2 linked regions of the Drosophila melanogaster genome follow. The protein of the gene in region 2 purifies or fractionates together with the protein of the main gene of each other region. This does not show direct contact. Each region holds a gene or a part of one and is shown on either strand. Other genes may lie near its edges.

Region 1 (5,685 bases), on a different chromosome or scaffold from region 2:
TGACCAATCTGGAATAATATTATAAATTATTATGCAAAGAACAAACCAACTTTTCCAACTACACACATCTGTTGCAAAAATCAGAAGCTCCTGGCTAAGTGCAAAGCACGTGATCACCGCATCACTGGGCATATTGGGCAGAGCTGTTGGAAAAACCGCCTGCAGCTTGTCCTTGCAGTTTGGATTGTCGGCGGCAATGGCCTGAAGGATTAGTTGTGGTGGACACAAAGCGGCACAGTAGTCCGCATTCAGTTTCATGCTCTCCACGCTGCGCGGAAAATCGCGTTCGCTTAGTGGACGAGGCTCCTCGCCCAAACTCTTCCCGAGATCATAAAACCATACGTGCTTTTCAATTCCTGTAGCAAAGTTGTATGGCCCCACGGCCATGAAGGTAGGCTCACCCTCCAGAGGCAAGCGGAAAGGCAGCGACTTTGTCTTGTCCGGTGCGTAAACATAGATGGACACCTCGGCGAGACTGCTCAACAGCACAATCCGAGGTGCAGAGACGGCGAAGAGATGAGGCAGCTTGGTCACATAGATGTACACAGTACCATGGTTTGTTGTAACCGCCAATAGTTGACCATCGGGCGACCAATCGATCATCTGAACACCGGCATGATCTGGCACGGTAATAATGCGTTCAGTCTCCTGGAGATTCGTTATTGAATGAATCTTAATGCTGCTTAAAAAATGTGAATATTAACATACGAATGTTTCCTAACAGGTTTTATAGATAAGAATATAAGTACTTACCTGTCATCCCCGCAGGAGGCAACTATATCTAACGTCGGGCAGTATGCCAATCCGGTCAAGCTGTCCTTGTGGTTCTTCACCTGCCAGAGCTCCTGTCCGACGTCCTTGGGATGCGTAGAGATGGCCACTACATGTCCGTTGGAAAAGCCCAGCAGGATATACCCATCGCCAAACCACTTGTGCTGCATCAGCGATCCGTATCGGCTCTGGAAGCCCAGCTCCGTAGGATTCTCGGGCTCGGGCAAATAGTAGAGAAACAGAGTACGCTTGCCGATGATCATGCTGATGGCATTGTCCCCCGCAATACGTTCGTCATTGGCCATTTCGGCGAAGTACATGTCGGTGGGCGCATCTCTTAGCTGGACTACGCGCACTGTGTCGCCATCCTCGTTGCTCAACGAGAAGCTCTTGTCCTCCGAACCGAGAGCCAACAGATTCTGGGCGGACCAGGCGCCGCAAGTGATTCGTTTGCTGTGCTTGCCCAGAACCGGTGTGGGTCGCTTTCCACTGCTATGATTATAAATGGCCAGATTACCGCGTCCTGTGCCGACGGCCAGTAGTTGTTGCTGCTTGGACCAGAGAATGCACGTGAGGGGATCTCGAAGGCCCGTCTCCACACTGATCTTTTCCTGGCTGTTATAGTCCCACAACGTTATGTTTGGGGAGCCACTGGTAATGATGCCCAGCAGGTCACCCTCTTGGTCCCAGGCGAATCCTGAGCACAGCCTGGAGAAGAGATTCCATTACTGGTCATTATTCATTATTACGTAGAGATTGAGCATAGCTCACCCAGAAAGTATGATGCGCTGCACCAGTTGGCCCTGTCGATTGTACAGGGCCACCGATCCATCGGTACCAGTTGTGGCCAGCAAAGCCTTCTGCCAAATGAAGTACACATCTCCGATCCCGTGCGGTTCCTCATATTTGTAAAGGATCTTTTCAAAGGACATTATTGGCTTTACGTTTCTGCTGCGTTAGTGTACATTCTGCAATTTTTAATTTTCCGGCTTTTGTTTACGAATTTTCCGTTTCCATGGTAGCGGCGACTACAACTACAAGCACAATTCCCCCCACCTGTATGTGTGCATTTTTATTGCACCTGTTGATTTGGGCATTGGGAAATTCAGTATTTTTGTAATACGCCTGCGATAACTATTGAATTAGACAATTTTTAATACATTTAAATGCTTAAAGAGTTGTAATGCAATGCTAAACTCCGTATGGAATAATTACAAAAGTTTAATTATATTTCAAATTTCAAACAACTTTATAACGTTTTGTTTCGTTAGCCAATACTATGAACAGCTGTTTGTTGATGACGTCATCGCTAGCTGCGCATCTGTAAACAGCTGCTTAAGTAAATTCGCAATAAATTCACGGAATACTTTATTTATCCGTAAATATAGTTTAAATATCAGTGCAAATAAGGCTTAGAACATGTTGGATGACCTGCCGGAGCAGTTTGACCTGGTCGTCATAGGCACAGGTAATTAAGAAGATTTGAAAAGAACCACAGATGAGTCATTCGAGGGACGCCCTTTTCAGGCTTCACCGAGTCCTGCATCGCCGCTGCGGGCAGCAGGATAGGCAAATCGGTGCTCCACCTGGATAGTAATGAGTACTACGGGGATGTTTGGAGCTCCTTCTCTATGGATGCTCTATGTGCCCGCTTGGACCAGGAAGTCGAGCCTCATTCTGCATTGCGAAACGCAAGGTACACCTGGCATTCCATGGAAAAAGAATCAGAAACAGATGCACAATCCTGGAATAGGGACTCAGTGCTGGCCAAGTCGCGACGCTTCAGCTTGGATCTATGCCCGCGCATTTTATACGCAGCCGGGGAGCTGGTGCAGTTGCTCATCAAGTCGAACATCTGCCGCTATGCTGAATTCCGAGCCGTGGACCATGTGTGCATGCGCCACAATGGTGAAATTGTGTCCGTGCCCTGCTCCCGTAGCGATGTCTTCAACACCAAAACACTGACCATCGTGGAAAAGCGCTTGCTGATGAAATTTCTCACCGCCTGCAACGATTACGGCGAGGACAAGTGCAACGAGGACTCGTTGGAATTCCGGGGACGAACGTTTCTGGAATATTTGCAGGCGCAGCGGGTGACCGAAAAGATATCGTCGTGCGTGATGCAGGCCATTGCCATGTGCGGCCCCAGCACCAGCTTCGAGGAGGGTATGCAGCGCACACAACGATTTCTGGGCAGTCTGGGCCGCTATGGCAACACACCCTTTCTCTTTCCCATGTATGGCTGCGGGGAATTGCCGCAGTGCTTCTGCCGTTTGTGCGCTGTTTATGGTGGCATTTACTGCCTAAAGCGAGCCGTTGACGACATTGCCTTAGATTCCAATTCGAATGAGTTCCTGCTGAGCAGCGCAGGGAAAACTTTGCGTGCCAAGAATGTGGTCTCTGCCCCTGGCTATACACCAGTTTCAAAGGGCATCGAGTTGAAGCCGCACATCTCACGTGGCTTGTTCATATCGTCCAGTCCCCTGGGCAATGAGGAGCTGAACAAGGGAGGTGGTGGTGTAAATCTTCTTCGACTACTTGACAATGAAGGTGGACGGGAAGCCTTCCTAATACAACTGTCGCACTACACGGGAGCCTGTCCCGAGGGTTTATGTAAGAAACTTAAGAAAATATGTGAATTATTCCTTTTTAATGAATTAATTTTTACAGATATCTTCCATCTGACCACGCCAGCGTTGAGCGAGGATCCAGCGTCTGATCTAGCCATTTTCACTAGCCAACTCTTCGATCAATCAGACGCACAAATAATATTTAGCTCATACTTCACAATTGCTGCCCAGTCTAGTAAAAGTCCCGCTGCCGAGCATATTTACTACACCGATCCACCTACCTACGAGCTGGATTATGACGCGGCCATTGCCAATGCTCGCGACATATTTGGCAAAATGTTCCCAGATGCCGACTTTTTGCCACGAGCCCCAGATCCAGAGGAGATTGTCGTGGATGGTGAAGACCCTAGTGCCTTGAACGAGCACACTTTGCCCGAAGATTTGCGGGCACAATTGCACGACATGCAGCAGGCAACTCAGGAAATGGATATACAAGAGTAGTCATACTAAAATAAAAAGGAGGTTTCCTTGGTCTACATATATCATTACTTATTACAAAATTTTCTTAAGTATCTTTCGAATAAGTTATATATTGTATGCAATTTTTTGATTCATATATTCCTATATATTTATTATGTAAATTATTTATAATTGCTAAAAGTACTAGGTATATATAAATGTTTAAATGTGAGTGTTTCTGTGCATTTTGCTTTGATAAATATATGTTCGAAAAATATGCATTCCAATGCGTATAAAAATGTTTCTCCTTTATAAGTATTGCTTGACGGGTTACTGTTTTTATCGCACGAAGACAGAAAATAAGTGTTTTAGAGATAAAGGTTAATAGTTACCAAGGAAGAACGAATATTATAAGTCTTATTAAATTATGATAAGGCCTGGGCAGTTCACAATACGGGCAGCTACAATAAACGCAAGATAAATTTTATTCGAGCATACCTATTTATATTAAAAGACAGATCAATGAAAGCTAGGATATAAGAAACCAAGCATAAATTTGATGAAATCTAACAGAAAATATGCTTTCGTGCTGGAAGATACTGCCGATGACTCCTCTTTTCTGTTTTCACTGCATTTTACAATAAAGCTTTTGTGTTTTCATTTCTTGTGATTGATTTTAGACCCTTCCACCAGGTTAAATTTGCACAATGCACGAATAATTTCTAGAGGATACAGATGATGGGTCTGTAAGATTCAGTATTCATCTGCAAACTTAACCCAATGTAGAGGCAATTGAGTGAGTTGAGATTTCATAATCAGTTGTCTTGCGAAATTGTGAGTTGCTTTACCTATATCTTAATCAGATTATTATTGATGTTCTGCTGGCGTTTGCGCTTTGCATTCATGGCGTCAACAATTGGCTGCCGCTTGGCATTGTATTTCTTGTTTAGCTGTTCGATCTCCAGCTCCATTTCGTGATCGATGTTGCACAGCCGCTGGTTCAGATCGTCGAAGGTAAGGAACTTGAGGAACTCAAACTCACCCTCAACATAGGCGTGCGATTGCGTATGCATATGCTGATTCTGATATGCGGGCGGCGGTTGAGCTGGAGCCGCTGCCGGTATTCCCTGCTGTCCCATTGGCGCAGCGTTGCTGAGCAGCAGATTCGGTTGATTGTTGAGCGCGATGAGTTGTTCGTTCATCAGGGGATAAGCCATCAGAACTTGCTGCTGCTGCTGGTGCTGCTGCAGACCATACTGATTAATGGCGGAGATCTGCTGGAACTGCATTTCCATGTTGTGCTCCCAGTTGTTCAAATCGTTGGCCCCGCTTGCCAGATGCTGTTCATCCTGCTGTTGTTGTTGCTGCTGCTGTTGTTGTTGTTGTTGCTGCTCCGCTGCTGCCGGAGAATACTCTGTGGCTATGGGTTTTTCATCGCCACGGCCATCTCCCGCATTTTTGCGATCGAAGTGCTCCAGGAACTGCGGCCTGTAGCGGTTTCGCGGCTTCTGGTCGTCGTTGTTTTTGGCCGTTGTGGAGTCGTCCGAATCGGAGTTGATTACCATAGTGCCTGAATAACAGACAATACAATAACAAATGGCCAGCCCTTTCAAAATCATTTACATACCCAAGTTCGACTCCAGCTCCACCATTGTGCCGCTGTCAACTGCCGGCATGTCCAGAGGAGATGCTGCCGAAGAGGCCGCTGCAGGAGCAGCTGCCTTGGACAGGTTCCTTAGTCCACCCGGCCCCAAAGTGCCCTCATCCACACCTTGCTCTGCATGCGCTATCATGGTGGCATCTGAGGCTGAGCTCTGTTGGTATTCACCGAACTTCTCCGGCACCAGAGTACCTGGATCCTCCATAAACGCGTTGTCCGTGATGT
Region 2 (6,287 bases):
ACACCCCTAAATTGTAAATTAGTTAAGTCGAAATGTATTCTTATTTAAGTTTAACAAATCCGTGGTATCTTAAATTTTTCCCTTTCCCTTTAACTGGTAAGCAAGCAACACAAGGAACGGCATGTTGGGAAAAGTTGACGCGATGTCGATCGGAATAGATATATATATCTATACATACATATAATTATAATTATACATAAATATAAAGATATATATTAATATTAGTGCGAGAGTTTAGCTTAAGCAGAATAATACAGAACGATGCGTCGAAGATGAGCAAATTCTAAGTGTAAATTCGTCTTTCCAAATAATCGTAAAATAACGTAAATCTAACTATAAAAAAGAATTAAAAATGAAACCTAAATCGAGTAGTTGGAGAACGAAAATCGTAAATATTTGCAAGTAAATTACCCATTATATTAAAAAAAAGTTCGTTTTCGCGGGCAGCTGTTTTGCTGCCCCATTAACATTGTTTTTTTTTTTTTATTATGCGTAAAACGGCAGACAAAATTTCATTGTACATTTCAAAACTGAAATTGGCATGCACGACGAAACGTTCATTTTAAGTATGTATTTAATAAAGAAAGATATATACATGCGTAATGGGTATTGAAACTGCTTTATACTTAAACTACTACTACTTATATACTTAATATCAAAGCTATGTGGCTATATCGTTGTTCTACGTCGGCCTGGGTCACTCAACTAAGACCACATAATTTTGCGCCGCCACGGAGGGATGCATCTTAGGTGTCTTTGTCTCCACATAGGTGGGCTTATGGGCTACCTCGCTATTGTCCATTGAAATCCCAATGAGCATATCCACAGCACCCTTCATCCGCATCAGCTCGGCGGTGAGCCTCACCTCCTCCTGCATTGCAAGTGACAATCGTTGCAAGGCTTTCATCAGCTTCTGGCTGTAGGCCACCAATCGTTGCTCGAAGACATCAAGGACCGTGCTCGCGGCCATCATCAGCGGGCGCATGAATCGCACCTCGCCCAAGTGGTTGCAAATGAAGTCGATGAATCGGACAAGCGCTGCCTCATGACGACCCGTGAGGGCTTTTCCCAGTGATCCACGGTGCAGAAGGTCCGTGATGACAGCCACAATGAGCTCCGGCTGGTATTGCATCTTCTGCGCATTCATCACGTCGTCCAAAGCCTTCTTGTGGTTAAACTGGCGCAAGTGCACATCGTAGGATTTCAATCCAGGCCCCTTGACGTGGTCCTTGATGGTGTGATCAACCTCTTGGGTGTTGTTCGTGCGTTTCGTACTCACGAAGTACTTTCGAGCGCGATCCGCACGAATCTTTTTCAAATGACTGGGCTTGCTGTCTACCATCATGCGACGAATGGAGACTAGACCATCGACCATTCCAGCCACAACTGCTTGATCTCCGTCAGCAACAGCCATGCTGACCACCGCATTGGGATAAGTCAATGTGTGCACTGTTTTGTAGGTGCTCACATCGTAGATTTTCACGTGCCTATCGAGCCCGCCTGAGAGCAATCTCCTGCCATCGGATCCCAGTCGCAGACAAGTTACTGTTTTGTGATGCTGCGACATCATGGTGAGCAGACGGCAGCCGCTGATGAGATCCCATACGCGCACCTGGCTGCCGCCGGCGCTGACGAAAATAGAGCCGTTCGGAAGGAACAACATGGACTCCACCGGAGCTCCGTGATCTAAGGTGCGCTGCACCGCCGTTTCCGCTCTCGTATCGTACAGTTTGATCTTGCCATCGTAGCCGCCGGAGACGAACATATGCCCTGCCTGCGGATGCATGGCGCCTGCACGAACGTAGTCGGTGTGCGTGTCCTCGTACGTTTGCACCACCTTCTCGTTTGCCACGTCCCACAGACGGACCGACTTGTCGTCTCCAAAACTGGCTAGCTGCAGCTTGTCCGCCGTAAAGAAGGTGCGGTGTACTGGTGCCGTGTGTCCCTTGAACAAACGCAAGATGTTGCGACTGGTGGTGTCGAATAGCTTGACATGGCCCTCCTCGTCGCCGGCGGCCAGGAGTCGACCATCCTGCCGGAAGGTGGCGCCGTATGCGGTCTTTTGGAATCGGGAAAGGTTCTTTACCACAAGCATGGTCACCAGGTTGTAAATCTGAACGCGCACCGAACAGGTCACAACAAAGTTGTCAGGATCGCTTGGACTGAAGTCCAAATAATCGATGGTGTTGTGCTCCTTGAGTAGTTCTGGTTTCTGTGGAATGCAGAGGGGAAACAATGATTTGGTTGCCGAGCCTCTCTGCCTAGTCCTATACAACTCACCGCCAGTCGGTCCCAGTACACCGTATCCGGCGTTTCCACCTGGGCCCGCTGTCGAAAACGCCGTGTGTTCAGTGGAAGAAAGGAGTTCTGCATCCTGTCTGTGTATTTCTACTAAATCTCTTTCGGGCGCGCACGTGTTAGATGGGAAGAGTGTGACCAGCGGAATGTAACAGTGGTGGCAAACATTTTGGTTTTTAGCCAAATCCGCGTGCACACAAATACGGAGGTGCTCATTGAATTCAATAAATTTTCTTAAATATCTTAATCATTCTGCTATCAACTGTTTATTAAACGCATATACTTAAGAAATAATTCCGTTAATACTGAAAAAATATATGAATGTAGCAAATGTACTGATAATACTGACTGTAGAAAAAAGGAAAAAAAAATTGAAAAATTCTAATGTCCCAGCTAATGCCTGCTTTCAATAGCCATTTTCCCGACAGTTGGTTCTGACGTCGCGGTTAGTAGGTTATCGTGGCAAGTGCCTCCTCTGTTGTTGTGCACACCAAACACATGTTTGCAAACAAACATATGCTCACCGTCGCCAAAAAAAGGGAACACATTTCCGAGCTTGCGGACCGATCCGCCGGAGAACCGCGCTTTGGGGTGAACCAGATTGACAGCCCCTCGCACTGGGCACTGAAATAATAATAATAATAAAGGCTAGATCTCGTGTCCAGGCCCCGGCTTAATTGAAATTTATTTGTTGTGATGCGGCCGCCTTTGGGGGTTCCATAGTCGCGTAGACAGGGTTCCAGCCTCCGCCATCTTCTCCTCTTCCTCCCCTTTCCAAATCTTAATTAACCGGAGACATTGAGCATGTTCATATTAATTGGAGGCAATCAATGTGCCTGAGACCCTCGAATCGAACGGAACGGAAGCGAGATCCCCGAGGAAGCAAAAACCACATCCCCATTGAAATTCCACGTTCGGACTATACTCAAATTCCATGGAGGAGGAACGCAACGAGAAAAAGGTGCTCTGCGAGAAGATCATCAGGGACATCAATGCGGTGTTCCTCAAGGATCAGGATCTGTGAGTCCAGCATTTAGTTCTACTATAGATCTAATCAGACTGTTAGCAATGAAAGCAAGCCTTGATGTCCGAATATATTGTTCTTTTCTCCACCAGCGCCTCCTTTGAAATTATACCCAAAGAAGCCAACTGCAACAAATCGCCGGTTGTGCATGTGGAGCACAATCTGGGCCTGGAATCGTGGTGTGCCCAGCATGTCTACGACCACGCCCACCGCACCCTCATCTCCCATCGCCGTCAAACCACGGCGCAACAGCTGCGGACGCTGCAGCAGCAGCAGCAGAGCGACTCCCTGGCCAAATACCTAAACGTGGCTCTGCTGATTAATCCCGATGTGACCACCTTTTGGCACATCCGCCGTCAGCTGGTGCAAAAGAATCGGCTGAGCATCAACAAGGAGCTGCAGTTCTCCGCACTCGTGCTCTCAATCAAACCGAAGTCCAATGAAGCATTCGCCTACCGCCGTTGGCTGTACTCATTTCAAAGTAAGTGGACGTCGGCAACTGGGGATCCCATTTCATTCCATTATTTCCAGGTGCCGATGCTATTGACTGGCCCAATGAGATCGGGATATGCGAAAGGGCCGCCGATAGATGCGCCAGCAACTATCACGCCTGGTCGCACCGCCAGTGGATCCTTCAGAACGGCCCATGCCTGCTGCAATCGGAACTGCTACGCACGGAGAAGTTTATGCGGAAGCACATCAGTGACTACAGCTGCTACCACTACCGCCAAGTGCTCCTGAGTCGTGCATATGAGCTCAGTTTTGCCCTTCCCAAGGATTCCGGAGCCAGTGGTTCGTCTACGTTGGCCAGTCTGCAGCATCTAATGACAAGCTATGGCCTGGAATGTGAAGCCAACGCTGAGGATCTGCTGGGTCTCTTGCTACCACATGTGGATCTGAGTTCCGTGAGCAAGCAAAGGCTAATATCATTTCTTTACTGCTGCAACGTTGCCGCCAACGATATGCGTCTGTGTGCCGAGCAGCGCTTGATGTACGGATCGCGGGATTGCTTCGAGCTGCATCGCCGTGCGGCACTCAAGTTCATCGTGGAGCAGTGCGTGCGCCTGCAAATGGGCTTGCCCAATGGCCAACTGTTACCAGTGGCGTCAGGCGATCTGCGTTCGCATTTGGGCAACTTTGACTTTGAAGATAATCCGTTTTTAAGTGCCGTACGGCGCGAGGAGTCCACCCTGGGTGGTAAGCACCGGCGGTGGTGCAATCTTCACCTCAGCTTTGGATATCCAGCGGACTAGACAGCGCGACCTGATAAAGCTCAAATCAATCTACCCCAATAGAATTACTCACTCCCGGCCTTTCCGTTTGCCCATCCGTTCTGAAATGTGGCAAGTGTATAAAGACGTGTGTTTTATTTCCTATCTAATTATCGTCCCAAAAATACAGAAACTTGTGCAAGACAAATTGTTAAAGAGTAAAATACTAGAAAGGAAGACGATTCAAAACGGATTTGGAAACGGAAATGCCTCTATTCTACTCTACTATAAATGTGCGATCCAAAGACAAAGTTCAACTAGCCCGATATGACAACGGATCTCACTGGTCCGCCAATTGCATTTCGATATCTATTAGCGTTACCTGTTCGTTTCTGTTCTTAATCTGATCCGGGCACGATTTGTTAGCCCTTTGTTCAGAAGTAAAACTTAACCGATTATCGCCATGCCATGCACGTGTTTGTTGTTAGCCAATTGCAGTTAGTTTTTAAATAAATCCAAATCATAGACGACGCCTTTTTTATGCAGTTTTGAACGTCGAGCCAGTTCGGCTCGTTCATTTCGAGAATATCGATTCGGTAATGGCCGTAATGAGCACTCAAAATGCATTGTATGGGGGTTTCTTTTGCGCAGAGCAGTTGTAATATGGGATGGTATCGTTTTGTGGCGGTGCAGCCACAGCCATGACATCCCATCCCTTCCCCGAGTGAACTGGGGATTGTGGGGTAACGAGTATCGATTGCGCATGCCTGGGATGCGAGGTGGGATGTGCGAGATGCTGCCGAAGGCCTGAGATGACAACAATTTCAGCAGCGGACTCAGAATCGCCAGGCCGTAATCCCTACCAGCTTTTCAGTGTGTTTCTGGAGCAGTTCGCGTGCGGCGGTGTTTTGTGGAGTGTTGAGTGGCGAAAGTGCTGGCTTCTTTGAAGGCTTACAAACAATTTGTTTCCGACTCGTCGAAAAAAAGTGCATTCCAGTCAACCGAGAAATCAAAAGTAATAAACAAAGTATATTATTCGATTTTTTTTTTTAGTTTGCTGAACGGGGTTCCGTTTGTGGATACATGTGTACAGGCCAAGAGGATTTCAAGGGAGCATTGCATCGAGAGTGTGTGTGCGCTTTTCTGTGCCCGTCTTTGTTTGGTTTTAAAATATTCATATTCGTTTTCCATCCGCCCTCTTTGCATTTTTTATAACTCCCACCCACTTTTCCTGGCCCAAGGGGCGTGGGCCCAAAACTACGCCTCCATCGCAGTTCACTTCATGGGTGTGTGGTGTTCGTGAGGGGTGGGGGTTAGTTTATGATGTTTATGAGTTGATTATGGGCTGCAAAGTACTGTGCCATTGTCTTCGGGACCTGTTCCCTCCGGGCATCCCCAGGATCTTGTCCTGCACCATCCCGTCGTGTCCTGGAAATATACCTCGGAATACCTGACCCTGGGGCACCATCGGCTGCACATGTGTAGATAACACAAAATGGACACACCTGATGATTTTGTGCCAGTGTGGGGGGTGGGGTGTGTGTGCGAAGTTCCTACGGCCAAGGGAGCTATACTCGCGGCTGCACTAATAGCAGCGGCTAATAGGCACATTATTGAGTTGCCAAGTAATCCTACTAGTGGAAACTCAATCTAATTGGTGAGCATTAAGGTGCCACTTCCTTAGGACTTCAATCAGATTAGGATTAGCTAGCCTAGAAGCTTATTATTCCCACCATCCTATTTTTGCGACCGCG

The links.
Region 1: the proteins of temp (region 2) and Rep purify together in Drosophila melanogaster (affinity purification with western blotting, with the first as the bait; one study listed by BioGRID). This does not show direct contact.

Annotation. Positions count from the first base shown.
Region 1 is NT_033778.4:19,490,034-19,495,718, forward strand, and holds Rep (Rab escort protein), read left to right. Parts: upstream 1-2,053; 5' UTR 2,054-2,190; coding exon 2,191-2,239; intron 2,240-2,298; coding exon 2,299-3,384; intron 3,385-3,441; coding exon 3,442-3,842; 3' UTR 3,843-4,092; downstream 4,093-5,685. Other genes in the region: Oseg6 (outer segment 6), read right to left, coding at 1-8, 67-679, 754-1,479, 1,543-1,703; hpo (hippo), read right to left, coding at 4,649-5,370, 5,428-5,685. UniProt on the Drosophila melanogaster protein: Binds unprenylated Rab proteins, presents it to the catalytic component B, and remains bound to it after the geranylgeranyl transfer reaction. The component A is thought to be regenerated by transferring its prenylated Rab to a protein acceptor.
Region 2 is NC_004354.4:2,258,982-2,265,268, reverse strand, and holds temp (tempura), read left to right. Parts: upstream 1-2,753; 5' UTR 2,754-3,232; coding exon 3,233-3,318; intron 3,319-3,414; coding exon 3,415-3,803; intron 3,804-3,853; coding exon 3,854-4,575; 3' UTR 4,576-5,062; downstream 5,063-6,287. Other genes in the region: CG3071 (uncharacterized protein), read right to left, coding at 698-2,212, 2,281-2,373.